Drosophila melanogaster: one gene and its partners. The protein of the gene in region 3 binds, or shares a complex with, the protein of the main gene of each other region. Each region holds a gene or a part of one and is shown on either strand. Other genes may lie near its edges.

What was found.
Region 1: MED1 (region 3) and MED24 share a complex: the UniProt entries of both Drosophila melanogaster proteins name them as parts of the mediator complex.
Region 2: MED1 (region 3) and MED16 share a complex: the UniProt entries of both Drosophila melanogaster proteins name them as parts of the mediator complex.

What each region holds. Positions count from the first base shown.
Region 1 is NT_037436.4:8,189,450-8,200,547, reverse strand, and holds MED24 (mediator complex subunit 24), read right to left. Parts: upstream 9,279-11,098; 5' UTR 9,160-9,278; coding exon 9,070-9,159; intron 9,027-9,069; exon of another isoform or gene 8,977-9,026; coding exon of another isoform or gene 8,222-8,976; intron 8,135-8,221; coding exon of another isoform or gene 7,540-8,134; exon of another isoform or gene 7,432-7,539; intron 7,359-7,431; coding exon 7,272-7,358; intron 7,214-7,271; coding exon 7,056-7,213; intron 6,987-7,055; coding exon 6,144-6,986; intron 6,077-6,143; coding exon 5,716-6,076; intron 5,659-5,715; coding exon 4,841-5,658; intron 4,702-4,840; exon of another isoform or gene 4,698-4,701; coding exon 4,073-4,697; 3' UTR 3,975-4,072; downstream 1-3,974. Other genes in the region: Dhps (deoxyhypusine synthase), read right to left, coding at 1,092-2,006, 2,065-2,256; NEDD8-conjugating enzyme UbcE2M, read left to right, coding at 2,927-3,026, 3,105-3,406, 3,665-3,808; CG7387 (uncharacterized protein), read left to right, coding at 7,540-8,134, 8,222-8,976; Atg18a (Autophagy-related 18a), read right to left, coding at 10,280-10,497, 10,579-10,706. UniProt on the Drosophila melanogaster protein: Component of the Mediator complex, a coactivator involved in the regulated transcription of nearly all RNA polymerase II-dependent genes.
Region 2 is NT_033778.4:22,178,147-22,186,392, reverse strand, and holds MED16 (mediator complex subunit 16), read right to left. Parts: upstream 3,256-8,246; 5' UTR 3,183-3,255; coding exon 726-3,182; 3' UTR 501-725; downstream 1-500. Other genes in the region: Vps35 (vacuolar protein sorting 35), read right to left, coding at 73-132; CG11275 (uncharacterized protein), read right to left, coding at 3,864-5,117; CG11170 (uncharacterized protein), read left to right, coding at 7,906-8,246. UniProt on the Drosophila melanogaster protein: Component of the Mediator complex, a coactivator involved in the regulated transcription of nearly all RNA polymerase II-dependent genes.
Region 3 is NT_037436.4:21,627,111-21,638,167, forward strand, and holds MED1 (mediator complex subunit 1), read right to left. Parts: upstream 7,337-11,057; 5' UTR 7,186-7,336; coding exon 7,152-7,185; intron 7,087-7,151; coding exon 5,806-7,086; intron 5,730-5,805; coding exon 3,823-5,729; coding exon of another isoform or gene 3,802-3,822; exon of another isoform or gene 3,011-3,801; intron 2,804-3,010; coding exon 1,598-2,803; 3' UTR 1,215-1,597; downstream 1-1,214. Other genes in the region: Alg11 (ALG11, alpha-1,2-mannosyltransferase), read left to right, coding at 1-290, 352-1,025, 1,083-1,164; ORMDL (orosomucoid 1-like), read left to right, coding at 8,275-8,451, 8,508-8,659, 8,877-9,012; CG32444 (uncharacterized protein), read left to right, coding at 9,876-10,202, 11,037-11,057. UniProt on the Drosophila melanogaster protein: Component of the Mediator complex, a coactivator involved in the regulated transcription of nearly all RNA polymerase II-dependent genes.

The DNA of each region.
Region 1 (11,098 bases), about 13 Mb from region 3:
TAACGACGGCTGACTGCCGATAATGGCATTTTGCTTGTGCAATAAGTGCAATTGATTTTCTTGGCAGCTAACATAAGTTTTTCAGAAATAAATTATTTTTGATGCCACATTATTATTCAGTATTAAGAGGATTTTTAATTTTCTTAATTCCCAAAGGAAAACTTTTAAAAGCGAAACATCTCAAGCGGCCTTAAAAAAGCGTATAAATTTCGAAAATTTGATAAAGCCAACATTTCTTGCCATGCATACGCCAAAGAACATACATAATAGTTTTTCCTCGCCGCATTCCCAAAAAACCATTCATTTTCGAAGAAAGCCAGGCAAAAGTCACAGAAAAAGTTGCTAGCAGTCGGGAAAAAGTTGTCAAAGAAAATGCAGTGCCTCTGCAATCCCCAAAACTTTCAGCCAGTCCATCTTTCGCAACTGCATCCTGACAATAGCTCAAAATATGTAGTGCCAACTGTCGTAGAAGCCGGAACGGAGGGGACAAAATGTAAGTGCGCGAAAAAGTTTCCGCATGGCTTTAATGATGCGTGCAGACAAGCCAAAGTTTGGTTGGCCAAAAGGGAGAAAAATTTTGAAGAAATGACGGAAGCCGAGCGCTTACATTAGTGGCATAAAATTAATGACAAATTTCGTGGGCTTATGCGGATGCACTGTTCCGTGGCGGACGATTTCCTGCCAGCGAGAGCGAACTTCGCAAACAATTATGGGCAGAACTGAGGGAATATTCGTATAAAACTAAGGCCACGAGGAATATAGCATCTGTGACCGCCGGTAAAAGCTGCATTTTTGCGGCACTAAAGCGATTCCAGCAGCAGAACCACTATTACGGCGGAATGTGCATGGCCCACTGGAGGTGCCGGAGTGCAATGCTGTTGCTGCTGTTGCCGGTGGTGTTTATCACTTGCAGCCAACAACTCCGACGACGCTTAATGGCTTCCTGCCCGGACAGTTTGCATCTGGGCGGGGCATAACACTTCGGGGACTTCCATTCTCGCAATACGACCCATCTGCGGCCCAACCATTCCTTAATAAGTTACATCTGTACATTTGCGTTGATTGCGTTGTCCTTATTTTCTCGTATATATTTACACTTGGTTAGTCTCTCGGGGCAGCTCTTTGCCGGCGCAGTGATGCCGCTTGGCGAATGTTTCACCCACAATCAACGGAAAGACCAAGCTAGCCTCGGCATACACCTTAACAGGGGTGGCATCCTTCCTGATCTTGCCCCACGATATAGCCTCATCCGGTCGAGCGCCGCTATCGCTGCCGTCAAACTCCGAGGCAGTATTAATGAACACTGAGTAATCCGCTCCATTGCGCATCAGATTGGCATTACAAATGTGATGCTTGATAACGCCGCCGCCCACGATGATCATCCCGCTGTTGACCGCCTTGACAGCCATGGTGTTGAGCCTCCGCAGATCGGACAGAATGTCCACCACGAGTCCAGGTTGTCGAAAGGAGTGAAAGTACATCATGTCGCCCAGACTGCCATCCGTCAAGGCGGGACAAAAGACTGGTATTTGATTCTTGGCAGCCCAATAGTAAATGGAACTAGGATCGCCAATCCGTTCGCCCAACCGATGAATAATCTTCGACGGCGACCAGATAGTTCCCTGGGATTTTTGCTCCTCCAGCATCTCGTCCAGCAGCGGCATCACCCAGTCCTCGAACTTACAGTAATTATCGTTCGGCACCAGAAGGTTGCCAATTCTGTTGATTCCACGCTCGCGGAGATCCCTGCCACTCAGCTCAAATGAACCCATGAACGTGGGAGCCAAGCACTTGATGAAGTCCTCCTCGACGCCGCCAGCTGTGGTCACAATGCAGTCGATCATACGGTGCTCGGCCAGAAAGCGAATGGTCTCTCGCAGTCCGGACGAAACCAAGTTGGATGTGTAGCCCAAAAATACGGTGCACTTGCTTCTTCGACGGATGAAGTCGTCTGTTTCATGGCTGTCTATTTGGTCCGCTTCCAATGGCTGGTCCCTGCAATCCAGCTGCCAGTGTTAGGGGTTTGTAACATATCGTAGTTATGTATTTAAGTTACTAACTTACCATTCTGTTAATTTCCCGAATGGCCAGGCCAAGATTCGTGGCCTGAAACCCGGTGTTCACATAGGATTCGAAGAGCTTACTGTAGTCTAAGCCTTCGTTGAAATCGTAGCCACTAACTTGGGGCGTGTTTTCCGCCAGAGCCTCGCTGCGCTTCAGCACAGCATCCTTGGCCACCGATGGCTCCGTCGACATAATCAGAAATTGTTGAAATTCAAAATAAACAGCTCAAGGGGAGCCCAATCGTAATGCATTAATCAACATGTGCTGGTTAAGGCAGCCCTGGTTTCCGATAGAGATGTGGTTTGCAAAGTAGCTAACAAATATTTCTTTAAATTTATCTGCAAAGTTTTACGTAGTTATGGAACGAAGTAAGAAAAACCAGCTATCAAAGACTTGCGTTTAATTTAAATAAATATATTTAATATATATATTTAAAAAAAAAAATTATGACGATGATTTTCAAATATATTACGACACCGGTTGCATGTCGAAAATTTAGGTTTTAAAATTTTCTTCGTTTCGAAGTATCCAAACTTGGCTTGAATCCCGCTGAATCCGAAGTCCGCTTACCAGCACTACGCAACAACTATCGAGCAGACTGTTATCGGGTGCAACCATCGATTAATTACACATATCGCTGGGCAGAAACAAGGAAAGGATAGAAAGCACTCGAAGTGATTTTTTACATCAGTTCTATTGTTAACGGTAGGCCAAAGATTCAGTGAAACAATTGCCCTTAAACCACTGACATTTCAAACAATGCAACCTGTCCCTCAAGCAGCAAAAGCCCCCCAGAGAGCCAGAAACTTTCGAGCACAGCCAAACGCGGAAGACGAAACGCCAGCGAGACGAGGACGCCAAGATGATTAAACTATTCACGCTTAAGCAGCAGAAGAAAGACGGCGAGCAAAAGGGCAGTCAGCAGAAGAAAGCGTCCGCCGCCCAGCTGCGCATACAGAAAGGTAGTCTCCAATCCAGCACCTGGTATGATCAACTCTCGCTTATTACTTATCCATCTTGGGCTGTTTTCCTCCCCCCAGATATTAACGAACTGAACCTGCCAAACACTTGCGCCACAGACTTTCCCGATCCCAATGACTTGCTCAACTTCAAGCTTATCATCTCGCCCGACGAGGGCTTCTACAGAGACGGGCGCTTCGTGTTCAATTTCCGCGTCGGATCCAACTATCCGCACGAGCCGCCCAAGGTGAAGTGCGCCACCCAGGTGTACCATCCCAATATTGACCTGGATGGCAACGTCTGCCTCAACATTCTGCGCGAGGACTGGAATCCAGTGCTGAACATCAACTCCATCGTCTATGGCTTGCAGTTTCTATTCTTGGTTTGTATTTCGTGATTTGTGTTATTTTAGAGGCTATACGCTTTGTTCCATAAGTCTTGATCAACAGCCACAGTTTTCAAGTTACAATTGATTTTTTATGTCTTGTTTTGTGAACAATTGATTTCTAAGTGTGCTTAATTGAACGCCCACTGAAACAATTCAATATAAATGTTTGTTTATACCACTTAACGATCATTATTTCTATTTTTGTTATTACCCAAGCCAACAGTATTACTAATCCAAATTAACTGCTTCCAGGAACCCAATCCCGAGGATCCGCTCAACAAGGAGGCGGCCGACGTCCTGCAGACCAACCGCCGTCAGTTCGAGAACAATGTAAAGAAGGCGATGCGTGGTGGCTGTGTGGGCGAGACCTACTTCGAGTGCTGTCTGCTCAAGTGATATAGGGAATCGCAAGGTCTCTTACTTTAAGCCTGTCCATACACCTCCCCCTACACCCGCTAACTGAAGAAGATGAAGCAAAACACAGACGAACATCGGCGACAACAAATTATTGTAATAAACGAAAACAAAATCCACTGCGTGCAAAGAAGAAGCCGAGTCAAGTCACCAATTTCTAGTTTTTAATACAATTCATTTAGCAATTTCGCCCACCCGTCTCTTAATCATAATCGGCATACCCAATGTGGCAATCATCCAAATCCCTCACAGATGAATGCTGTGCCTGGCCATCTGCATATTTCGCCACAGGCAAAGATCAGACACAGCGGACAGTCTTCCTGCCTGGATTCGCAGATCGTATAGTCTGCTGATGAGACCCACTTTTATGTCGTCGGTGACCAAAACTTTCAGGAGCTGTTGCACCAGGCCGTTGGGCAGCAAGCGCAGGACGGGAGCGACCCTCTCACCACCGCATTCCACCAGCAGCGAAATGAACTGATAAACAAAAACGGCCTTGGGCGACAGTTCATCTCCACTGACAAACTGCAGGAACACTGCGAAAATGTGCTGCACGCTCGTCTGCAGTGGTTCTCTTAGAGTAAGCGGCGTAGTCCGCAGTTCAGATGTGGAAGTGGAGCCCAATAATGCTGCCAGGCCAGCTCCGGTCGTAGTGTCCGTAAAGTCGCTTGAGTTGTCGCTGCCATCGCCAATCACCTTGCGCACTTTGGCTGCATTGGCCGCCAGTTCCTCGTCATCGTGAGATCTCGATCGCTTCTTCATGGCCGTCAAAGCGGAAGTGCCATTTCCTTTGCGGCTCTCCAGGCAGGAAATAATACAGTAAACACAGAGGCGGGCCAGTACCAGGGATTGGGGCTCATTAATGTCCTCACTAGAAAAAAAAAAGATTGCCAAATTGTGAGTACGAGTTCTATCATAGCAGTTTCAATTTTTACATCCTTTCTTGCTAAATCGATTCGATTTGTAGATAATAAATAAATGAAATAATATACAGAAGAAAATATTGGTATTTACCCTTGTCGTCGCAGTATCAGTGGAGCCACCACGTACTGGAGCAACGCCTCAGTGGTCTTCTCAATGTCGAGATGCATTACGGCAAACACAACGTCCATGGTTCGCGACATATCCCTTGTGTACTTGCAGGCCAGCAGTTGCTCCACCAACTGCGTGGACAGCCACGCCGCGCCACCGGCTAGCAGAAGCGACTCCAACGACTGAGCGGCGCGAACGGGCAGGTGACCAGCATCGACTACTGTTCGCCACACCTCCCGAAACTGCTCGACTAGCGGGGAATGTGAAATGAGGCGGGACTTGGTACTTGGGGCAGGATGCACATCGTGTTGCATTTTTCTGATAATCTGATAGGAGAGAGCTAGTCGCTCCTTGGCATTTTCCTGGCTGGAAAGCTCTTCGCTGGTCAACGGAGCCAGGAACTGCTGAATCATGTTTAGTGGTTTCAGAAGTTCCGTTTCCTTCACCGAATACATGTAGGCGCATAGAAAACTAGTGGCGCAAACGGAAAAACTGAAAAGTCTTCTCTTAATATTGTCCAGAATACTTTTAACGTCCGCCGAGGATAGCGTTTCCTGCTCCCAAGCTATTAGCACATGATGAAGCACTCCGGGCAGATTAAGGCAAGTCTCCTGCCAACTTAAGTTGTTTGGCTTAAGTTGTGATGCCTCTGGTTTACTGAAGCTAAGCAAAAGCTCGTCGACAATACTGTCATCACAGAGGGCAAGAATTTGACGCGGATTCTTAAGCTTATTCCTTTCCACCATGCACTCACGCACCCATTTTTCAAAAAATGAGTCACCACGCTCAGATAAGACCACCTGAAGTAAAATAGAATTCATTAAAATTGCAGCGTAATAACAGGCGGGTTTACGAACATCGGATCCATAGGTCTGCACAATGCTTGTCAACATTAGGAAGGAAACATCAAACAGAGTGGACCGGATGACGCATAGCTTGCCCAGGTCGCCCGGCACCGGCTTGGAGTTCTCATTGCACTGGATCAGACGCGATACGAATGTCTTGAGGCGTCCCTCGACGGTAGCCACTGAAAGAATCAACTCGAAGCTGTTGCCCACCGGCACTTGGCAAAGGACATTAACCATGTCCTGGACCTTGTTGGTGCACAGCGTTTTTAGTACTCCGGAAAGCGGAACCTCTGCGCGCTTGATGAAGTTTATATTGGAGGGTGTCTGTTGGCCATTGTCGCATTTTTTGAGTAATTGAGAGGCGGCTTCCCTGAAAGAGTTCGTTTTAAATTATATAATTAAGATGGGTGTACAAAATGCATGATTTCTCGACTAACCTTTGACTGGCGAACTTCTTTACGTGGACATCATTGACTAGTTGTTGCTTGGTCCAGTCATTCAAAAGGAACTCGATCATATTGCATGAGCACTTAGTATCCATGAAGTCTAGCAGCAGATTGTCCTCGATGAGCAATTCCAAAGCCTCCACCAACTCGGGTATGTAATCGGCCGGTGGTGGTTGCTCCCCGGGAATCCGTTGCAGGGCGTGCAATTGCTTAATGATGTGCGGCATTTTAAAGAACATAAAGGCACCCCACATAGTGTCAGGACTTGTATCCGCAACATTGCTCAGCGTGAGGAATCCAGCACGGATGATTTCGTAGAAGAGCCGTGTATTGGAGTATTTCTTTAATCGTTGCAGCATCTGCAACTCAGCCACGTAGTAGCTGGTGTCCTTGCACGGATTGAGAAGCACTTCCACCGCCAGTAAGGGTTGCACGCAGCACGAGATCTTCTCGAGTGTTGACGGCGGATTAAGTGGTTGCATTTCAAGATGCTTGGCTTCTATAAAGGCCAACTGCTGCAATTGCTGCTCCACTTGTGGTGCATTTAGCGTAAAGTTTGAGTTCGTCAACGATCCCTTGATGGTAGCGTACTTATCCCGAATCCGTCCACATATTTCGAGCTCTTCGTGACAGCCCACGTACAGCATAGACAGCAGGAACTGCTGCTGGCTAAGCCGATCTATCACCACGCAGGTCTGGTCCAGCATGTATGATTGCTCAGCACTAATCTCACCATACAGTTCATAGTGCTGCACAGTTCTGGCGAAGATTTGAAGCAGCCAGTACACCAAGTGGACGACGGAACTCGGTAAAACCGCTTCCTCAGATTTTATTCTGGAAATAGAAATGAACAATTATTTTTACTCCTGCTTTTTAACGACTTATAAAACTAAAAGGACTTACCGGCAGGTAACGCCATCCACGATGCTGGCCAGGAATTCAAGGAGCGCTGTAATGCAATAAACGCGCTCTAATTTGTCATATTTGGCAATGCACCGAATAACAGCAGCGTGAGAAACGAGATGGGCGCACAGTGAATGCTTCAGGTAGTTAAGAACCAACTGAAAAGCATAGATTACAATTTAGAAAACAATCTAAATACTCAGATCAACTACTCACCGGATTAGCCGTGGAACCAATGAGTGCCTGCTGCATCAGACAGTCAGCCAGATTGTATACATCTCCACTGACTCCTCTCGGCAGCACCTGAAATAGTAATCAAGGGAAAGACAATAATGAAACATTTTCTTTTCCTGTCAAACTTTAACACAATATCTGGGTCACAACCCCATAAAATAAACAGAAACAGAACCACTTAAAAATCTAGTTAGGATTTCCACTTATATAGTTAGCACACATAGTTGCATATTTCGTTACGCGATAAAAAATGTTTCGTTTAAAATTATTTCGCAGTCCTGGAGACGTATTAAGCACTTTAATTAGCGGAGCTGCAACGGATTGCTGCAGGAAGACGTCACATTGTTTGGAGTTGGATCGCGCTCCCGCTGTCGCTGCCTGCTGGATCTGTATGCGGATGATCAGTCAATATCAGTTCAGGACCACGAAACCAGCCTACTATCCAGATCGCCAGCGGGAGGCGAAGCGAACGTCAGCGGGAGCCACGCCTCAACAGGTGTCATCTCCGGCTGTTAAGTACCCGCAAAGCCGAGGCATGCCCAAGGACTACTACTACAAAGTGTTAGGCGTCAACAGGCACGCCACCATCCAGCAAATCAGATCGGCTTTCTATGCGCTGGCCAAGCGCTATCATCCCGACTCGACGCACTCGGAACAAAAGCTGAAGCACTTCCAGGAGCTGTCCAACGCCTACAACATCCTAACCGACGAGACGAAGCGCTTGGAGTACGATCAGCTGGGCGGGATTAAGGATGAGCGCGCTTTTCTTGAACAGGCGGGCAATCCCCTAAATGTGGGCCTCGAGGAGGCCAAGAAGTTCGATTCGGATAAGACGACAAATGATGGTAAGCAGACGGATTTTAGATACATCAAACACCATTTCACTTTTCACTATATCACGATATGAACACGATCCTTGAATCGCCTTCTAGAGATCAACAAACTGAAGAGCAACGAGTTCGATCTGCCACTTGACTTCCTTGAGGCGACAGTGGGATGCAAGAAGCGGATAGAGCTGCGCTACTTGCGGAAATGCGAGACCTGCAAGGGCAAGTCACAATTGATGGCGCATCGGGATGTGGGCAAGGAACCCTGTCGGCGATGCAATGGAACTGGAAAGGTCATGACCAAAACGCCAACCTTCTCATCGGTGAACACATGCACGCAGTGCAAGGGCAAGCGATTCACAAATCGCAACGACTGCGAAACATGTTCGAATCGCGGCTTCGTGGTGTCCAATGTGGATGTGATGGTATCGGTGCCTTCCGGATCCCGGGACGGTGATGTGGTGAACATTATAAATCCGGAAACGAAGCAGCAGGTCACCTACCGCTTGTCGGTGCCGTCTAGCGACTATTTCCGACGCGTTGGCAATGACATTCTAACCGACAAGCACCTAAACATCTCGGAGGCCATTCTGGGCGGATCCTTTCAGATACGGGGTCTGTACGAAAGCGTGGAGCTGCGTGTGGAGCCGGGCACCCAATCCCACACCCAGGTGGTGCTCAATGGCAAGGGGGTGCGCTCCAGGGAGGGCGTGGGCAACCACATCGTCACGCTGAAGGTGCGTATACCCCGGAATCTCTCCGTAAAGCAACGCCAACTGGTTTTGGCACTGTCCCAGGCAGAGGATCCGGTTTTCGAGCCCAAGACTAAGAGCACGGAGGCGGGCAATTTGAGTCACTAAAATTCTCAATGTACCGGCCTCATTGCGTTTACAATATATTGGTAAACACGAACATTGATTGTTTGGTGTGTTGATTTGCTTGGGTTGCCTTGCCTTTTTTATGTTGATGCCCCACTGGGAGTCCGTCCAGCGCTCGCGCCACGCCACATAGATGAGTTGGAGGATCTTGTTGTTCTCCTTCATCTCTCGCGTCCGTGGAAGTAATATAACTTTTACTTTTCTCGTATTTCACGCAATTTATTTTATTTAAACCTAATATATTTTTTAGCAGCGCTCAGTGTGACCGAGGTATCTTTTATTAATCATACCAAAAGAGTACCATAATTTTCCCATCCTACAGTGTTGAAAAACACACAATCTTAAAATTTGTCGCCAATTTTAAATATTTTGAAAATTTTGTTTTTGCAACGAGGAATTTAGCCAAATAAAGGAAATAATATTAAAATATATTTTAAGACACCGAAAAGGCACCCACAAACAAATTTTAATTCAAATAATTTATTGAATACAATAAAGTAGCGTATGAGTTTCATTTGTAAACTGTTTTCATTTTAAACATTATGTTCTAAAATATTTGACTTTGTACAAAATATATTCTATTTATATATGCCGAAAATTGTTCCTCCATTGCACGCTCCGATTTTTTGAATTTCATTTCACTCATCGTGTCGCTAGCTGAATGTTAAATTTTAAATTGAATATATAATATATATATATAGGTGTGGTGTATGTGCTTAATCCGAGATATTTCGATATGATTAAACAATAGCTAGGCGAGAACTTTACATACAAATCGAGTTCGGTGGATTGTCAAGGGAAGATGCGCGAGGACTGGAAAAATAAAAAAATTAAAAACTAATTTGCAAAGGCCGTTTATTTTGTATAAAAAGCTGGCAACTCAAATATCAAAGCGAATCTGTAAATCCGTCTAAATTATTAATTAACAACTAACTTAGGAGTGTATGACAAAAGCATTTCACATTCCAATGGCAGCGCCAGGAACGGAGGCTTAAAACTAAAAAATGTTTTGGGTAGGGAGAGGCCGTACAAAGGAATATTGGCTGGTACAAAACGAGGAAGAATCATCGCTGACAACGTTAAGAGCTAAATTAAGTCTATGACCTATTTATTTACTTAAATACGCTTGACGCCACAGAGCCACCGTCGTTTATTCATCATCATTATCGCCGCCGCCAGTCGCCAAGCATCATTGTAATCACTTTAGCATCATCGTCCTTATTACTTTGAGGAGTGAGTTTCGTTTACCATCGCTGCATCTCTCATTTTTGATCATTGACCTTGTCTAAGCGGATGAGGGTCCCACGGGATCGTCACCCTTCACGGCCGACGCATAGGAGCTACTTGGTTTGTCGACACCACCGGTAACAGAAACAGCCGACTTGCCATCACCGCCACTTCCACCAGTGCCTGCTCCGGCTGCACTTGCACTGCTCGGCGGAACTCCAGCTGCTCCGCCAATGCTCACGCCACTGTTAAGGCCTAGAGTTTGAGGTGAATCAACTAGAGAATTTGTTTCGATTGTGGGTTTGGTTGGGATGTGTGTAAGTGTGAAGTGTGTGCGAGAAGCGAACAGTTAAGCACCTTTGATATCCATGGCATAGTGGTCCTCCAGCCGCAGGTCGTGCCTCTTTATTAGCTGGCACTCTGCGCCCTCGACGGTGGGAATGGAATACACGTACAAGTACCCATCCTGCGAGGCAATCAAAAGTCTACAAATACAACAGAATGAACCGTTATTTAGAACTTGAAATAGAGGCAGGGTAATCAGTTTGTAGTTCAATTTGCACGTGATTCAATTTTTGTTTTATAAACCTTTATGAAATGTACTAGGCTACTTTTGCAAAGAGCATATTAATTACATTTCAACAGAGTTCAGGGAAATTCAAACATATGAAGCCAGATAAAGTAGGTAGTGTAAATGATTTACGCGGAACAACTGCATTGGTATCTAGAACTCAGATTCCCTACCTGAGGTATTAAGCTCGCATAGAATTGCAGTTTTCGAAATTCTTTATAGCTAGGTAGAATTTTATGGCTTTTTCACTTTCCCGTGCGTTCTTCGTTGCAAATTGAACTGAAACAAAACTGATCCGTGCTAGAC
Region 2 (8,246 bases), on a different chromosome or scaffold from region 3:
CAAATTGAAGATAAGTGGATTAACGATTACACATATCCAAGATTCGTAATCTGGGATTGGCGGAGTATTTACCCGGACGTTGGCGGCACTGGGAATCTGGCCGCCGTACGAGGAGGAGCTCCAGGGATACATGGACGTGGGATTTGGACCGGGGGGGCGTTGCTTCTCACCACAGGCAGCCCTCTTTTGACGTCGACAGGGTGGGCACTCAGCACTCGGTTAAGCCTGGACCTGGGGCACTCGGTTCTCTAGGAATTTCGACTTCTGGCGACTACAGGTTGCACCTCGATGCACTTACCATTACTGCAGCGTTAGGGCGAAGTGAAATAAGCCAATTATTCTGAAAATATCTATTTGCAGAGGAGATATCGATTGCCGACAGCCGACAGACACATTGGACGTCCTGATATCGATTGACATGCTAGTGATGCAAGTTCTTCGATATGTTGTTGTTGTTAATATCAAACCGTTAGCAAATACACCAACCACAATTCATAGATAGAGTTAAAAAATATATTTTATTCAAATAAATTTAGTTTTGAAATAGTGAAGTATGGTGGTGACTTCTCTGTGGCTTAAGTTTTTTGAACGAGCACGTCGTGCAAAGAAGAAATATATTTAGTATATTAAATTTCTTGATTTCACTAAAATTGCTGGCAATCATGTACTTTTATTTGAAGCTTAAATCATACTTAATAACTAAGGTCATTGCTCACATAGATTTACTAGTGAACCTGCTTCCAAAAGCCCCCACAGTGGCAGTGCAGCCACTTACTAAACCACGCCTTGAGGGCCGACGTCTTGGCCACTTTGCTGGCGTTATTCACGAACACGAATCCGCAGCGGGCGCATCTCCGAATGTGGCTGGGTCGGGCGCCCAGTTGGAGATTGCTCACGCCATCCTTCACAGAGCTGGCGAAGACCACCTCCTCCGTCTCCATGTCCTGCAAGCAAGTTGGCTCCTCCATGGAGGTGAACTGCAGCTGTCCCGACTTTACGGCCGCGAATCCTTGGGCACTCAGCAGCGTGGTGGGGTTGAACTTGGTGGGCTGGGGAATTAGGAGCTGCTTGGAAAGCAGGCTGCACTCGTCCAGCAGCATTTCGTCCGGTTCTGCAGGATTCTGGGCCAGGCGAGTAAGCAAACGAAACAAGATCACTAGCACATCGATGTTGTCCATCGTCTTGGTGTAGACGGGCAGGCACTGGGTGTTTAACAGGCCCCAAATGCGGATCATAACCAGCAGCTCGCGCAGACTGCTGATGGCCACGATGTCTCGGCTGATATCGTAGCTAGGCCGCTTTCCGGAGAGCTTGGTCTTCATTACCTCCTCGGGCAGACGATGCAGCATGTTGAGTGCCAGGTCGGTGACCCACTGAATCAGTTGCTGTAGACTTTGCAGCATCACCGGCTCCACTGTAAAGTCCTTGGCGTCCAGGTTCAGCATCACGGTGTCCACATCCGGAATGGATTCGGCCAGCTTGATGGCCAAGTTATCGGCAGGTCCTTTATCCTGGAAACCCAGATCAGACGGTCGCAGGAGGCTCTTGAATGTGGTGGATATTGCGTGTAGGATAATGAGATTGTCAAACTCCTGCTGCTGCATGCGGCATATGTTGGACTTGAGGGCCAAAAAATTAGCATAATAAAAGTGCCGCACAAAGGAAGGTTGCCGCGTAAAGTTGTCGGTTAGCTTCTCCACCAGAGCCTCCAGGTTGCCTAGATTAAGGAGTAGCACATCGCTGGCATCGCAACCTGTAACGATGCAATATTCCAGAAGTAGCAAACCAGATCCTCCTTGCTTCGGCAGAGGTGCCTGCATGGCGTAAAGTTGTGCATGGCTATCAAAGATTAGGAGAATTTGGCTGCTAGGTGTCAAGTCGCCGCTAACGAACTTTACTGCTCCACTGGCGTCAGATAACCTATCAAACTGGGTGTGATTAAGCTGCTTCATCGAGTTGGGCTCCAGCACCTGGACGCTGTTGTCCTGCAGAATGGCGTACACTTGGCAAGAGTCCGGCGTTGATACCGATAGTCGTGTAACGCTGATATCCGCCAAGGATGCATTTAGTTGCACTTTGCCCACCTGCTCCCAGCTTTCCGATTGCACGAACTCATTTGGCTTGTTGTTGGCACCTCCTCCACCCTGGAGAAGGGCGTGGACACTTTGGTGACGGCGTGTCAATGTCCATTGCTCCAGTTGGCTGCCAGCACCATCTGGACAAGCGTAGGCTATAAAAATCACATCCTCGTTGGCTATTCGCGTCCATTTTAGGTGACTGATCCGCCTCCCGTCAAGAGGACCCAGAAATATGCTGGTCTGGGACTCGGATTTGATGGCCAAGTGCTGCTCCAGACCCAGTTCGCCCTCCAATGAAAGCGAGACCTTAAAGCATTGCACCAACTGTTGCTGCCAGCCACAGCTGAAAGCGATATTAAGGGCTCCCGATGGACTTGGCGTCATGCTGCAGTGTTCGATGAAGCTGCGCGATATGCCGATGCTGTGGAGCGCGGGTGTCAACTCGACGACCTCGTGGGCAGGACCATCAGCTCCTGCGGCGGATGTCTTTTGGATTGCGGGGAGACTGAAGGCGGCCAGCAGGCCTGAGGAAGTGAGTAGCACGCATCCCTCGCTGGCCACTCCGCCAAATCCGCTGAGAGTGGGCCTCTGCTGCTCCACCCGCTCGAACTTCTCCGCATAGTAGGTGTGATCCTTCTTCAGCGCATTGAAGATCACTCCTTTGCCATTCTGAAAGAACTGTGCTTCTATAATGTCCTCGCTGGGCACGGTGGCGTAATACTGCAGCACCCATAGGTTAATTGACTGGTTCCTCGGCTGCCAGATCTCGACGCGACCGCCGACGTATCCAAGCAGCAGTTGCTCCCCATTGGGACTCCACTGGAGGACGCTGATAAGCGATTTGGAGGAGCACACCTTATAGTATTCCCACGGCGTCACGATGTCGCACACGTACACATGGCTGTTGCTCGCGCCTACGGCCAAACCCGCTCCCGGCAAGGATCCATCGCCGGCATCTCCTCCGTGGGAAGCCGGAAATATGGCGCTCTGGAGGGCGCTAAACGCAACGATGTTCCGTGCGGAGACTGAGCAGAGGACCTTCTTGTGCGGAAAAACGCTGTCCTTGCTGAACTCCTTGCCCTCCACTTTGTACAAAATCGTCATTTTTGCAGCGTAAACAAAAACCAAAGCGGACTATTATTGTTTTGCACCCGGCGTCTGCCAACACTACTCTGTGAAGAACTTTACAGCACTGTTTCGCGGGTGTTTAGCGCTTTTCCACTGCATTTTTGATTCCATTGTTACTGTAAAATGTTTGGTTTTTATGTTTAGATTTAAGATAGTGCTCATTAATATTTTAATTCTGAACAGCAAATAAAGCTTTTACAGCGCAGCAGCTTTAAATCATTAATCATTTAAACAAAAATTAAGTTATTAAATAATAGCCAGTTTCTCACTGTTAATTATTTTACGGTCGCCCCAATTTAAGCAAGAATTATTATGACCAGTTGGCCACACTGTCCCTCGTTCAATTTCGCTTTGTTTACATCTGGTGATTATATTATAGTTTATTGTTTTACCGATTTTTTTTTTTTAGTGGCCGCAACAACAGGTGAGATAAGTTTCCGTATTCGCAGCCAGGACGCCGTTCCCCGATCGAGTTCGATTCGTTCGCCAAACAAAAACGGCTGCAAACCGGCTTTTTATATTTATCAGCAGACGTCTTGTGTTTGAAGCGATATTACTCACAGTTTATTGAACTCTGAGGCAGCGTACATTAACTTAGGGCAATAAATACATACACGTCTTACGGACTAACTAATTATGATATCGCGGCTGAAGTGGCTACACCAGGTTGGCATAGCGCAGTCCCTTGACGAGACTTCCGCTGAAGCTGTCCTCGTCAGTGAACCGAATTCCGTCCGCCTGGCAGGACTGCAGGCTGCACGGATACTCGGCGCCGTAAGCACTGCTGTCCCAGCGGATCTGCAGCTCATAGGTCAGCTCCGGATTCAGCACACAGGCCTCTTCGCGTCGCCAGCCAAGATGCAGGTTGCAGTTGTACTTGGTATTCTGGCTCTGGACAACGTGACTCCATACGGGCGACGTGGCCGGACCCTCGCTTTCAGCGGGCACCTCGCAAAGGTCCAGCCGCAGCGATTCGCGGTACTCCAGCTGCTGGACGTGACCCAATAGGTTGGGAGTCAGCCTGCTGTTCAGGACCAAGCCCATCAAGGAGATAAATCTAGAGCACTTTAGACGCAAGCGAAACAGCGGAGTTTCTGCATCCACTGTAAAGGGCCTGCAGGCCTTGTAATAGCAGCGCTCCACCAAAACCACCGGAGTTAGGGCAGGTGATTCCAAATCACTAGCACCCGAAGCCGCAGGCCAGTCGCTTGTTTTGCCACCCAAGTCGTGCACTACTAAGTCGGCATCGCTGGGACCCAGACCCAACTGCTCGCACTCCTGTCGTGTCCACTCATAAACATACCAGATGAGTAACTTGTGCGGTTCCTTGCACGCCGCTATTATGGCCTTCACACACTCCTTGGACACGTGCACATAGTGCTCCTTAAGGTGGCTCATATACTGTCCATTATTAACACAGCATCGCATGAAAAAGGTCATGCAGACCTCCAGCAACCCGTCGAGGCCCATGCAAACACTTAGCTCTAGAGCGGGCAAGATATTGGCAAATCGCAGCTTGCGGGTGATAACCATCAGCGTGTCGGCGATCAGCTCCTCCAGCAGATACTTCTCAGCGGCGTAGTACAGCTCAATGCAGGCCACCAGCTCCAGGCCATTGTAGTCAACGACGCCCGTGTAGATGTACTCCACCAGCACCTTGAAGATGGCAGAGCTTATGTCGTGGATTTCGATTTCCGGCTCGGGCTCGTTGTTTTGCATGGGACCAAAGAACATTGCCTCGAAAACGGGACTGGCGGAGCTCAGGATGAGCTTGTGGCATTTCACTTGCTCCTCGCACACGTGGAACACGCAATCTGTGTACTTGGCTCCACGGAGCAGCTGCCCGTATCGCCTACCCAGACCGCTGCTCACACTGCCCGGCTCTTTGCGATCCACCGCCGAGATGCTCATCTGCGAAAGGGGCAGAGAAAGGTGGTAGATATTAATGAGCCATTCGAAAACCTGTTTCCAATTTGCCCGTGTCATAGGCGGCCATCAATCATTCGAAGTATAATAGAAACTATTCAGGCGCGGGCGAATAGAAAGCGATACGAGATGTAAAATCAAAAGAAATAGCTAAAGTTTTGTTAGTGCGCAAACTAGTGATTTCGGTTGAAATGAAAAAATAGATGTTTGGCCAAAACAGGTCTTTGCTGTGTTTAATACGTTCTTGGTAATTCTTAATGTTTATTCAGTTAGTAACTCTTTTTAGTTCGAGCTAAAAATAACTGAAAGAGTCGTAACACTTAAGAAAAAATCAAATTTCACGCTTCCAATTTCGCTTGCTATTTTATGGCTATTAATTAAAAGGGCGTGTGCCACAAAGCGAAAAGTTTAAATGTCCGATAACGCAATCCCCTTGAAAAATAATATGTAGTCAAGGAGGTTTGAGTGCCTGCAGTCAACGTGACGTAATTCGATTTGTATATTATCACTTACGCGACATGCATCAGATTTCCTTGGTCATGGCCAAGAATGCAAATATATAAACACATTTGTATATATATATATATATATGCGATCGCACACTTGACAGGCTTTTGTTTATCAATAAGCCAAAATAATACTACGACGCGACTGTTTACCAGCCAGCTGGTTGGTTGGTTAGTTGCTTGGTTATTCATATATTGCCGGCTTGGGTTTGCTATTTGTTTTCCCAGCGGGTACTATATGTATATAACCGGTTTAAAGTGTTTGTACAGATCTCAGTTGGACAAGTGGGGCTCAGGCTAACGCGACTTATATGGGGGCCCTCGAAATCAGCGATGAGCACATGTCGGCGTTATCTAATGTGTAATTTATGGGTAGCTAGCACGGTGGTTTATGTGCCCTCCTCCAATTACTGCTAACTGACAAGCAAAATAACTCTCAATAATATATACACACATGTAGAACTTGGATATGGGCTGCTTTCAAACAATATGTGGCCCGAAAATAAGCTGAGTGCTAATTCCCTGACTCTGAAAATTTCGAACTGAGCAAATTTGATTGCAAAGTCAATCAATATTCTGGACTTCTGCTGCGCACTTTGTTGACTCGCCTCAAATCGCGATCTGCTCTGTTCTCAGTTGCGTAAAGTTAGGCTAGCCCAGGTGGTGAAGGTTTCACGTGCGACCTTAGGGCTAATTTATGGCTTTTTAGAACATTGGAATAGTTTACGAGCTAAGTGGACATTTCCAAGAAGAACACACACACCTTTTGGCACTGTGACAAATTCCTTTTCAACCAAGCACACGCGAGAATCGTAACAAAAGCAATTTGTGTATGTGAAAATCGAGTTGGGGGAAATTTAAAAGTGAATTTCACGCGCCCTCACGGTGAGGCTAATTGAGTGATCGCCGCGTCGTCGTCTTCTTCGTCTGAACTTGACCGATATCGCGTCTTTATGCGCCAGGCCAGACCAGACTACCCAGCTGTTCCAAGAGTTCGGATAACTTGAGCGAGAACCAGAATAGCGACAACCGTCGAGCGCAACGCGCCACCTTCAACTGATCTTACTCGGTTTGGGGAAACGTTCTCCAAGCGATTTCGATTTCAGGTCTCTCCTCCTCTGCTGCGTCTCCCAATCTCTCAGTGCGTTCTCAGCGATCTTCGGTCTTTTTTCGCACGAATACATTTGGTAGACGATTTCATCGAGTTTCCTCTTATCCCGAAAGGTTTAAATATCGTTCTGACGAACACTTTCAGCCAACTCATACATGCAGTTCCAGATGCGTTTCCCCGAAATTAGTCGCTGGGACTTGAACACATCCAGGTAGTTGAGACCGACCAAGCCCAATTCCCGAATTCGCTGGGCGAGCAGGAAGTTGAAAAAGGCGTTTGTGGAGCCCAACTGTTCCAGTTCGTTGAGTTGGAGTTTTCGTATGGTGCTGCGGCTAAATCTTACACGCGATTTTCTTTTGATAGTCTGAGGCACTGGCGAAGTCGTGGGCAATGGTGCTGAATCTTTAGCCGAGTCATTATGCTCCTCGTCGTCGCCAAAGAATGAGCCACAGAGCAAGTCCATTCTGGGCACACTTAATTTTGAAGTACAGGGCAAGGCGAGATGGAGTGCGTCTTGGAGGATGCGACTGGTATCGCCATAATGGCTACTCTCCCACCTCTGCAGAGATTACAAATTAAGCGTCTGATTCGCTTCTTGCTCCCAGCGTGATGGCCAACCTTGAACCCATTGAATTGGCTCTTCTTCAGAACCAAAGTTATTTCTGTAAGTCCGTCCCCCCGACGCCATACTCTTCGGACCTTGTGGGATAACCATTTCGGCATGAGCCCAGAAGCTGGTGTGATAAAAGCGATAGTGGTATCATAATCTAATCAGCTGTCATCATGACTAAATTAAAGATCTATAACTTAGACGTGCTTAAAAAATATAATAGAATAAATGGAAGCATTTGGTATTGCTTTTAGGAACTAGTAAAAAGGGAAATTCCATACTTAAAATACATACAGCTTAATAGCAAATTAAACTAAATGTAGCGAAAGGGTATAGACGCTTCGTTAAGCGGTCATAACCAGCTGCCTCTTTGGCTCGGTGCTTAGGTTCACTTTTGGCGTGTAGCTGCCAAACAGGTAATGTGGCCAGTGGACTGGAGGCTGGGCCCTCACGCACATTTCTTTGGATACACACACGTGTGGCTTCTTCTGTTGTTTGGCAAGCCCCTTCATTCGTTTCTCTTCCGTCTCTTTGCAGCTCCCTGTGATGCACCTGTCACACGGCCAACTGAAAGTGGTGCTCATTTTGGCCCTGCTGCAGGAGCTGCAGGTGAAGCCGCAGCGAGAGGTGTTCCAGGAACTTTTCGAGAAGGATCTGCGCTTGTGTCCAGACTGTTTCGTTGGACAGAGTGAGCCGTGCGGGGAAATCTTCCAGAAAATTGCAGAGCCCTCGGATTGGAGTAGACTTGTGAAAGCCATTTCGTTGCTCGTTGATCGCCGAGCGATTTACTTTCTAAGGCTAAAAGACCGGGATCAGGAAGTCCAGCTGGTGGCCAAAAGAAAAATCATTGATGCACAGAGTAATCAGATAAAAAATGTGAAAAAAGA
Region 3 (11,057 bases):
ATTTCACTCTGCTGGGCCAGAGCATTGGATCGATGGTCGTGGGTCTGGAGGCACTCTGCAGGTTTCCGCCCGACATCTACATCGACACCATGGGATACGCCTTTACGTATCCTCTGTTCCGCTACTTGGCCCAGTCCAAGGTGGGCTGCTATGTTCACTATCCGGTTATTAGCACCGATATGCTGAAGAGGGTTCAGCAGCGACAGATGTCGCACAACAACAAGAAGTACGTGGCGAGGAACCCCTTTCTCACCTGGACTAAGCTTGCCTACTACCGCCTCTTCTCAAGAGTGAGTGTTCAAATTCGAATTAGTCAATGCACAGCTGTATACCAATTTACCCTTTTTTCAGATGTACAAGTGGGTTGGCTGTTGTGCTGAGACTATCATGGTGAACTCCTCGTGGACCGAGAATCATATTCTGCAACTGTGGGATGTGCCCTTCAAAACACACCGGGTTTACCCTCCGTGCGAGGTTAGTCACCTAAAGAGCCTTCAGCACACGGAAAAAGGCGACGAATTCATCATACTGTCTGTCGGACAGTTCCGCCCGGAGAAAGACCATCCCCTCCAGCTGCAAGCCATATACGAGCTCCGAACTCTCTTGGCCCAAGACGAGGCCCTTTGGAACCAAATTAAGTTGGTTATTGTGGGCTCCTGCCGAAATGAAGATGACTACGAGCGGTTGAAAAACATGCAGGACCTGACAAAGCATCTGTCGCTAGAAAACAATGTGCAATTTAGTGTGAATGTCCCTTACGAAGACCTTCTTAAGTTGTATCAAACTGCCCACATTGGCATTCACACTATGTGGAACGAACATTTTGGCATCGGCATCGTCGAGTCCATGGCTGCTGGCCTTATAATGGTGGCCCACAAGTCAGGGGGTCCTTTGCTTGACATTGTCGAAACTTCCGCGGGAAGTCAGAACGGATTCCTGGCTACTGACGCCGTTGAATACGCAGAAAACATATTAAATATTATTGTTAACAACTCAGAAATGAACGGCATTCGAAACGCAGCCAGGTAACTAGATAAACATTTACAGTTTGCACACTTTAATATATTTTGGTTCGCTTTTAGGGCCTCCGTGGAACGGTTTTCTGAGCAAGAGTTTGAAAAAAACTTTCTTCGAGCTGTTTCAACGCTATTTACCAACAATTAAAAAATAATAGTACGCCCGCACCTAAATAAATATGCAAAGCCCAAAAATCTCCAACTGAATACATTTATTATACTCTACAACATATTTAGAGCGATTTTATCGTACATATCGCATCGCTTTCCTTAAGATTTACCTAATGCATTTTTAAAGCATAAGGTGATTTCGGTTTGATCGACTTAACAGAATCGGGAATAATCTCTGAGATTTTGTACCAAATTCGCCATCGTGTTGTAAAATTTTATTTATTTCCTTTGGAGTTTTAAATCATTTTTCTGCCAATAAAGTTAAGAAATTGCCTAATAAGATCCTTAGTTTCTATGCATCATAAAACAAAATCGTGTAACTAATGGCTTTAAACTAACTCACTATGCTAGCTTTAAGAGAAAATCGCATAGAGCAACAGGAATATCTCATGACGGCTGTCTTTCTTCTGTCATTCGCCAGCCAGGCTAGCCAAAAGCTCCTCATCTATCCCATCCGCCGATGGTGTACCCGCCGTGCTGCTAAGATTGAGCAGTCCTTCATTGCCAGACTGCGAAGGAGGCACCGGCGGCTTCGCTTCCGGCTCCGTCAGTCCAGTAGAGCTGGCAATAGGTCCTAATATCGAAGATGATGTTCCCGCTAAAGCCGGTTCTGAACTGCCACTTGGCGTGCTGCGTCCACTGGTTGTATTGCCTCCGCTTCCTCTCTGCGATAACTTTGGGATCTGGAATTTGTTGTGGAGCCCCTTGATGAAGCCTTCCATGCTTGCGGCCATTGTCGGAGAAGCGTATTGGAGGATGGTCATCATATCCGTGTGGTGATCGAATCGCGGCGGTGGCTGCGACATTGAGCCGCTAAGGGCCGGCGATACCGACCCCGAAGATCCGCTGCCTCCTCCCGAAGCGGAGCCTAACTTTCGCTGCCCGCTGCCTCCTCCACTGCTGCCGCTAGCCAAGGCTCCCATGCTGGGACGCCGCCTGGGGGCATTGTGCTCTTGGAAGGAGTTAGTGCTGTTGCTCTTAGTCAGCGGAATTCCGCCACCTGATCCCGACCCACTGAGCTTGCTGCTGAGATTGCCCGAGGAGTTTGCCTTCTGGAAGAAATGCTTGCTGGATGATGCCGTGGCGGACGAGACCGCTGCGGTGGCCTTCTTGGAAGCGGGTCCGCTGTTAACGCCCGGCTTGAGTCCGGTATGCTGCTTCTTCGTGGATCCAGTGGACCCAGCGAAGCTCGTGGCGCCGCTGCTGCTGCTCTTTGCCTTCGCTTGGAGGCCAGAGGAGGAACTAGAGCCGGAGCCGGTGCCGGAGCTCTTGCTGCTTCCCGTCTTGTTGATGGTCAGCTTGAGGCCCTCTTGGCTGCTGGGCTTCACCATGTATTCCGTGGAGGCTCCGGCCGGATTGATGCTCCCGGCGGAGTCGCTGCTGCCCCCGCTGGTGGTTAAGCAGCTACTAGTTGGCGCTGCTCCCGGCTGTGGCTGCTGCTGCAGAATTGTTGCTGTTGCCAGCGTTGCTGCTGCCGCTGCTCCCGCTGTTTCCTGCCCCTGACCCACTACCGCTGAGACTGGAGACACCAATGACGCTGCCGAGCCCGCTGCCACTGTTGTTGTTGGTGCCGGAATTGTTGGCGCTAAAGCTGCCGTCGACGTCATCAAACTAACCTGACAAAGTAAGCATGTGGTTGTGTGTGTGTTAGGGACCAAAGAAACCAAAAATAAACCAGAAAAGAAATTATAACAATCAAAAAGGGGAACATCACGTGTAGCAAAAGAAAAAATTGTGGGATTTCACAACCATTGGTAGTGTAGGAAGGGAATACAAACAGGAAGAAAGAAGAATGGACCCCGTTAATAATTAGCTTTATAGTTAAGTCGGATACGAAATATATTTTTGAGGAGAAAATGTATGAGGCAAACGCTTGTGGAGCTACTTTCAAAGTGTACATCATAAGCACATTAAACACTAATTTTAAACGTAGTAAATATTTAAGTGAGAAGGAACTCTTGTAACTAAATCTAGAAAAGGGGAAACAATCAAATTATAATACTCGTAGAGTCAAGATGCCAAGCACTACTAATTTACACATTATTTACTGATGTTCTTAACAAAGCTTAAAAGTCATATGCATACACATTCTTATAAATCCAGCAATACTGTAGACACTATAAACTTGGTGAACCAGTACGCCATGGTTTTCTACATGCCACATGCTGGCCAAACAACTATACAAATCAAACAGATTAACTAATAATAAAAACATACGTTCTCAATGCAGAAAAAGAGGTTTAAGCTGGTGTTTTGGGGATAAGCCCCATTACCATACGAGTTTTGGGTTTGGTCGAAAATAAAACGGATGCAGCAGTATATATGACAAATAATTGAATCATATGTATTTACAAAAATTAGAAAAGGCAAAACGAAACACTAACAAAAATAATAATCATAGTACTAAATATAATCATTTTCAACTACAGCAGAGGTAGGCAAATTACAAATCGTTTTATAGCTAAAGTAAATACAGCATTTGCATTAGTTTAAAGATAGGTTCGCTCTGAGTTTGATTCTGCATTGGTTAGGAGAGGTGGCAGAGAGTCAACTACGTGTTAGGCTTCCAGTGGGAGATGCTGGGGGTGGGTTGGTGTGGTGTGGAGTGGAGCACTTATAATGAAAACGGACTTACCGCACCTCCCGCCATGCCCTTGCGCAGGGCACTCAGCTCCAGTCCGGAGGCCCCCGCTCCAGCGCCAGCTCCTGCTCCCACCACCACTGCGGCTGCACCAGATGCTCCCGCTCCCGACGGGGCCGCATAGCTACCCAGTCCCCCGCCCGCCGCCAGATGCGAAAGACTGGCGACTGACTTCATCTGCTGTTGTGAGGATTTCAGGGCAGCTACTGCAGCAGCCACACTTGCCGGTGAAATACCTCCGCCAGATGCGACACCTGCAGTTGCCGAGGATGATGTGGAACTGGAACCGGATGCCGAAGAGGTTTTCTCCTTCTTTAAACTCTGGCTGCTGCTGATAGATCCGCTCGAGCTCGCTAATGGAGGAATTGGAGGTGGTGGAGGCGGAGCTCCAACGCTGGCAAATGACCTCACCAGGCCAGTAGCTCCGCTGGATCCTGAGGAGGCGGATGGTCCCGAAGATGTGTTACCCACAGCTGACGAGGACTTATCGCCCTTGGGACTTAAGATGGTGGCAGCTGTAGCTGCACTTTTAAGCGTTGACATGCTCGGCTTTCCGGAAGAGCCGTGTTTGGGTGAGTGTGTGCCAAACGGCGACTTCGGGCTGTTGGAGGCGGTGTTGTGCTTGGGACTGCTATACACGGGAGAGTGCTTGGGGCTGGGACGGGCAGTCGGCACTCCGGCCATTAGACCCTGTCCACCGCCACCAGCTTTGGGTGACGACGAGGGAGAGGAAAACTTGCGAACCACTCCACCAGTTGCGGAAGCATCTGCGCCACCTGCAGGCGAGTTTTGCCTAGAATAGATCTTCTCCGGCGGTCCCATGGGCGAATCGTCGCGCTTTTTCTTGCGCTTCTTTTCCTTCTGCGTATCTGAAGAGCCGCTGCTGGCTGAAGACGACATGGAGCTGCCAGAACCACTACAACCGGACGTAGACGAACTACTTGTGCTACTTTCGTGGGGACGCTTTGCGGCCACACCTACTCCAGCTGAAGCAGCGGTACTTTTTTTGGTTGAGTCCTTACTGGGATCCTTGCCAGTTATTGGGGTAATAGTTATAGTCGTGGGAGTGGCACTGGATGAGGCTGTAACACCTCCTCCGGCTATAGCCGCCTGGGCATTCAATGGAATAATTTCGATACCACCCGTTCGCTGTACCTCGACCCCGGACACTCCCCCAGCTGATCCAGACTTTCCATCTCCTGGGATGGGGGTGATGCTGACGCAATGCTTCAAATTTGGAGTCTTGTCCTTCCAGATATTTTTGTACTTGTCAGCAATGTCATGGTCACTCGTCTTGGCGGAGCCGGATGAGCTGGAGCTGCCGCTGACCGTGGTGCCACTGGCCGAACTACCAGACTGTGGATCGGTTTCCCGCTTAAGATTGATCAAACCCGCTATGGCCGCTGCTGCCGAAGTAGAAGCGGCAAAAGCATCCGCTAGAGATCGCGACTTCGCATCCATTTTAAGGTTGTTAATGTTGGCGAAGCCACCTCCGGGTAGGCTTCCATCGGAAGGCGTCGGCGTATCCATTGAAAACTGGCTAAAGTTATTGCCTACTCCTGAGACAGGTCCACCACCACTCATGCCTCCACCTCCGATTGCTCCAGAACCAGATCCAGGTCCAATCGCGCCATGCAGTTTGAATTCGTGCTCCTCATCCCAGCACTTAAGCAACTTGTAGATTACCATCGGAATGGATACCACTTTGCGCGCGGTGCGGGTTAACTTCTGGGACAGCAGCTCGTATTCGTTGGTCAGACAGTAAACGCTGCACGTGGGCTGACCATCCTCAAGCAGAAAATCCACAGTGGCCAGCGACTCTTCGTACGGGTGCTGCAGCTCAACCGTGATTTGATTAAATGAAACGGCGGTTACCTCCAGTATCACAGTGCTGTCCATATCTGGGACGAATGAGCATAAAAAAAATATTATTATCATAAAACAGGAATGTGGGGGGAAGTGGAGCACCCAACTCACCATTATACTGCTTCTGCTGCTCACGAACACAGCTTGCGAGCAGGGTGTAGAAGAGAGCTTGTTTCTTGAGGAACGCCACGATTCGCGGAACCTGGGCGGGTTCAGTGAAGGGCAGTGATGACACCAGAGTTCCCTGCAGTTTGCGGTTGTCGGTAAAGAAATAGCAGTGCGTCTCTTTAGGTAAATTCACATACAGGCCGCGCTGTGTGTTCTTAATGGCCTGCTTCGATGCAGTTTGTACTATGAGATTAAGCACTGTGGTGGGCGGACCAGGAGGAGTGGCAACTGAGTCTAGACCGGGCAGACCGAGAGCCTTTAGTGATTCCAGGCAAACAGGCATGGGTTTGTTCAGCCGAAGCACAAACGTGGCCGGCATCAGCAGCGAGTTGTTCTGGTTAAGTTGGGCATAGGTGGGAACCTCCAACCCCGTTTGGGCATCGCGGACCAAAGTCACCGTTGGCAAAGTCTGCAGTTTGTTGGCTGATGAGCCTTCGAGATTGATAGTGGCACTCAGTCCGTAGCTGCTTCGCATTACCTGGTCGATGGTGAAATCGCCGCTGGCCAGTTTGGGATCCCCTTCGGGAAGGTGGAGCGGCGGGCAGAAATAAGTAAGCCTCATAGGATGGCCACCGCGACGGGGCAGCACAAGACCCACCGATGAACTTGTCATAAGTGAGTAGCTGTCTCCGGAGTGACCTTGCAGGTGCAGTTGGTATAGGCTCTGGATATCCGTCTCCATGGCCTGAAGCGCTACAAACGCCTTCTTTTTCACCTTGGGCTCGGCATTCAGCTGGTAAATGGAGGACAGACCCTCGAGTTGAACCGTAAAGTCTGCAAAGTCGCCAGACTTGAGGCAGGCCACTAGCTCGCTGGACTGTTGCTCGATCTTGCACTCGTGGTGCACCTTGACGTCCGACAGACTGCCGGCGGCGTCCAGCAGGATCTCTACGTAGAACATGTCCGTTGATATGAAGAGAAGCTGCTGGTCCTCCATGAACTTGAGGCCCAACTGGCGCGAGAGGCTCTCCAAACGCTCCACAAGGCCGTGGCGTGACGTGACCTTGATGTAGTGCTGCAACTTGTCCAGCGCCGACTGCAGCGTGGCCTTGCACAGGGGGTCCAGAGGGTAGTGCTTCTCGATAAAGTACATACGCACCGACTTCTTGATCTCCTCGTAGCTCTTTGGCTTGTTCCGGTACTTGGCCCGCAGCTTCTCCATCATGGTTTCCTGCTGGATCTGCTTGTTCTTTTCCTCGATGCTGGGAATGTGGCTGCCGAAGCCTGTGCAGATTTGTGTCAGTGGTGCTCCGGACATCTTAGTTATGGGGGTATATATTAGTACTTACCAGTCCCCGAGGACTTTGCATTGGATCCGCTCATATCTATGCGTTCCTAAGTAAACTGTATTTACTTAATGATGCTGTGGCATTTTTGACAAAGAATTGCGGCAAATGAAAAAGTTCTCGATCTAAATAGCTCAGAACCTTTTTTCTATGCCTTCATCATGGCAAAAAAATTTCAACGCCAAAACAACAAAATGGCTGATCCTTCACAGTGGCTGGTCACGCTATAATAAAATACTGGAATATAAAACGGAACTATGATATTTCCACTGCGTCATTTGATATTCGATGTATTCTGATTCAAAGCTTGTATCAATTGCCTGTTCAATTATGTATGTTATATTTTTTAGTATGAGGGGTAAATATAATGAAGCAATTAACATCTATATTCTATACATCCTTCTGGTACTTTTACATTCTATTTTTTATGATGTAATTGTGCCTCATTTCCTACTCGAATTTTCTCTTAAGCTACAAGGGTATTGTAATGAACAGAAAAGCTCAAACATTCTTTCGTTAAAAAATAAATTACAGGCCTCATAATTTAATACCGATGATTTAATATTTATTTAAAATTTCCAATGATTTCTAAATGTCTTATTGGCATAAAGTTTAATTTGGGGTTTCTGTTCCAAGAAACCGAAAATGATTATTTAAAGTTTCTTGAGATTTGAAAGAAACTATAATCCTATAAAAATAAATATCAGCTAAAAAAAACTTTAAGGACTAATCAAATAAGTAAACAAATACAGCTTACGACTTAAACAAATTTTATTTCGCTAAATTCATGATAAGTCTTAAGCGTTCCTCTCTTCCTCGTACTTACCTAAACTACGACAGATATACGGATTATATTGAATATAGGTTTGGTCCGACAAATCAAAAGTAGTCATAACCTTTACTAAAGGTAGATGTTATATTTCATAGAAAATTGCAAAAGCTTAAATTCAAATTTTATTAAACATTTAAAGTATTTCAAATTTCTGTTTTCTCTAAATTATTTTGGTATATTTATTATCATCAAAGTGCAGAGCGATATTTGTATGCATGCGCGGTCACATTGAGCGTAAATGATAAATATTTGTTATTAAAGTGTTTCGGAACCAAAGGTTAACAATTCAGCCACATGACGTCCATTGCGGGAGGCCACGGCGAGGCGAATCCAAACAGCTCCTGGCTGAGTGCCCGGGGATTTTGGCTAGCATACCTCCTGGGCCTGCTGTCGGTGCACCTGCTCTTCTTATCAGTGCCCTTCGTTAGCATTCCATGGGCCTGGACGGCTACCAACCTGCTTCACAATGCAGTGAGTGCTCATGGCGCCGTTGAGGAGTCAGTCCTTATCCTAATCCCTCTTGCCAGGCCCACCTGTACTTTCTGCACGTCATCAAGGGCGCTCCCTGGCTGAGCACGGAGAACGATCCCAGCCGGCGTTGGACGCACTGGGAACAGATCGATGACGGGGTACAGATGACCACAACGCGCAAGTTCCTCACAGCTGTTCCCATTGTTCTGTAAGTGAATACGTACTGAAAGTCGGCCAATATAGGTGGGTTTTTATTTAAAAAAATTAAAACTAAATGAAGACTTAAATTCTAAACTTGTTTTAATGTTGATCAAAGTATTTCAATAAATACTTTTTATGTACTGCAGTTTAATTGAACTAGTAATGTAATTGCTACCATATAATGCCTAACATAGAAACTCATGAAATAATTGATTTTTTTATAGTTTCCTACTTACCTGTCTGTACACCCGAAACAACACGGAACACTTTATCCCAAACTTTATATCCCTGGTGGTCGTCACGCTTCCCAAGCTGCCGCAGTTCCACGGCGTGCGGCTGTTCAACATTAACAAGTACTAGCTCCTGTGAGAACGGGCCGCATTTATTTTGTTTAATGAAAATGTACATACAAACTTATATTGATGGCACAGCTCTTGCTCAAAAATGTAAATATTGCTAAATAAAATATTTATCAAATTAAATAATTCTAAAAATCGCGTTTCGATTTTTATTGCATAAATAATTATTGATCATGGAAACTACAAATCATCTAAAAGATGTATTTGGGGGCCAGCACATGAGATATTTTATAACCCATTATGTCAGACGATTAAGTAGAACCATGATGTAGTTCTTTAGCCCAAAGGATTAAACTTGATCAATCGCTGTACACAGAAGTCTTCGTAGTGACGAAAAGCACAGTGAGTGGGGTGCGTAAGTATAGTACATATATAAGCCGAAAGATTGAAAACATGAAAGAAAAACCCGTTAACTGATTTTTTCTGTTAAATATTCTTAAATATAATCATACAACATACAAAAGTACTGCTATCAACTTAAGTGGCGAAAAATGATTATAGACATACTATACAGATACAATGCAAACACTCGCCGCAAACAAGCAAACAACAACAAACAAAAAGCTTTTTCTGTTTTATGAGCTCTCGAGAAAGTCGCGCCCCTGAAAAACTATTCTAAATTCCAGTCAAGTGGCGATTACAGGACAGCTTATCTCTCATTATTGTGGGCGGTAAAATGCGGGGGATGGGCAATCGACTTCTGACAAGCTGATTGCCCGGTTTGACTTTGAGGGAGAAGCTCGCGACCCGAACGACTTTGGCAATTCATAATAACAGAGGTGTGCCGGATCGGAGTATGCCTGATACCCAGGCAGTTGCTGTCAGCCGTTTCAAGGGGAAGGAACGACACCGAGACGCGCCGAGATGTCGATTACCCTAGAGGAGGAAATCTTCGGCTTGGCCGTGAATCCGTTCACCAAGTCGCCCGAAATGGTGCGCCGGTACACGCTTAAGAACTCCAAGGGCATGACCGTGTCAGTGATCCAACTGGGGGCCATCATCCAGAGCGTCTGCTTGCCGGACGCCTACAAGAAGGTGGATGATGTGTGCCTCGGCTTCGACGACATCGCCAGTTACTTGGCCAACAAGGGAGCCTACATCGGTGGGACCCTCGGACGAGTGGCCAACCGGGTGGCCAATGGCGAGTATACGTTTAACGACACGAAAGTCTCGGTGACAAAAAATATCCAGGTAAATATTTCACAAGTGACCGATTTTTGAATACTATTTGAGATGAGGATTTTTGACACTTGTTTTGGCAAGAGAACTTAGTGTTAGAAGTTTTTTGATTGGTATACTTGTTGTACTTGTACTTGTTGTAAAGTATCAGGTAGAGGAAAGCGATTCCGACCCTATAAGTGGATTTGCAATCAAGGTCACTTGCCAAGTCGACCTGGTTTATTAGTTGAGATAAGGCATGCATATTATAGTGACGAATACAAATACATATATTCAAGTTTGTCTCAGATGAAAAAAGACCCGATATCGGCTGTGCTCAGCGTACTCGGCGACACAATCATTCTTATTTTTTTTTTTTTTTTTTACTTTGCTTTTATTTATTGAATCTTCTTGTATAAGAACTAACAATAAGTTTAAAAATCTTAACTATAACAAGTATTTTTTGAACAGTTGTATTATTTTTCCAACTGTTCTATGTTTAAACGGCCCTAATAATTTATTCGCTGGGTTGGTAGGTCCTTTCGCCGGAGACGGGAACGGCTGCTGAGCTGGATTAGACCTCGCGCTAGGTGGTTGGGGTGCGTGTGAAGCTTGCTATGGTATTTTTCCTTAAGTAATCCTTAAGTTAATCATTCTTATGAGAAGAATACTTTTTGATTTCGACACGAAAAAGAGGCTGAAAAAGATTCGATTTTAGCTAGATTTTGAGATCAAAATTCTCAAATCGAGACCTTTGAGAACGGGGGTTTCTTTAAGTGATTGATATTTATAGTATTTATACAAATGTATAGTATTTCTAGTTTAAGCAAATATAGAATATGAAATATAGCAATCGATCAATTTCAGGACAAATTCCAGCTGCACGGT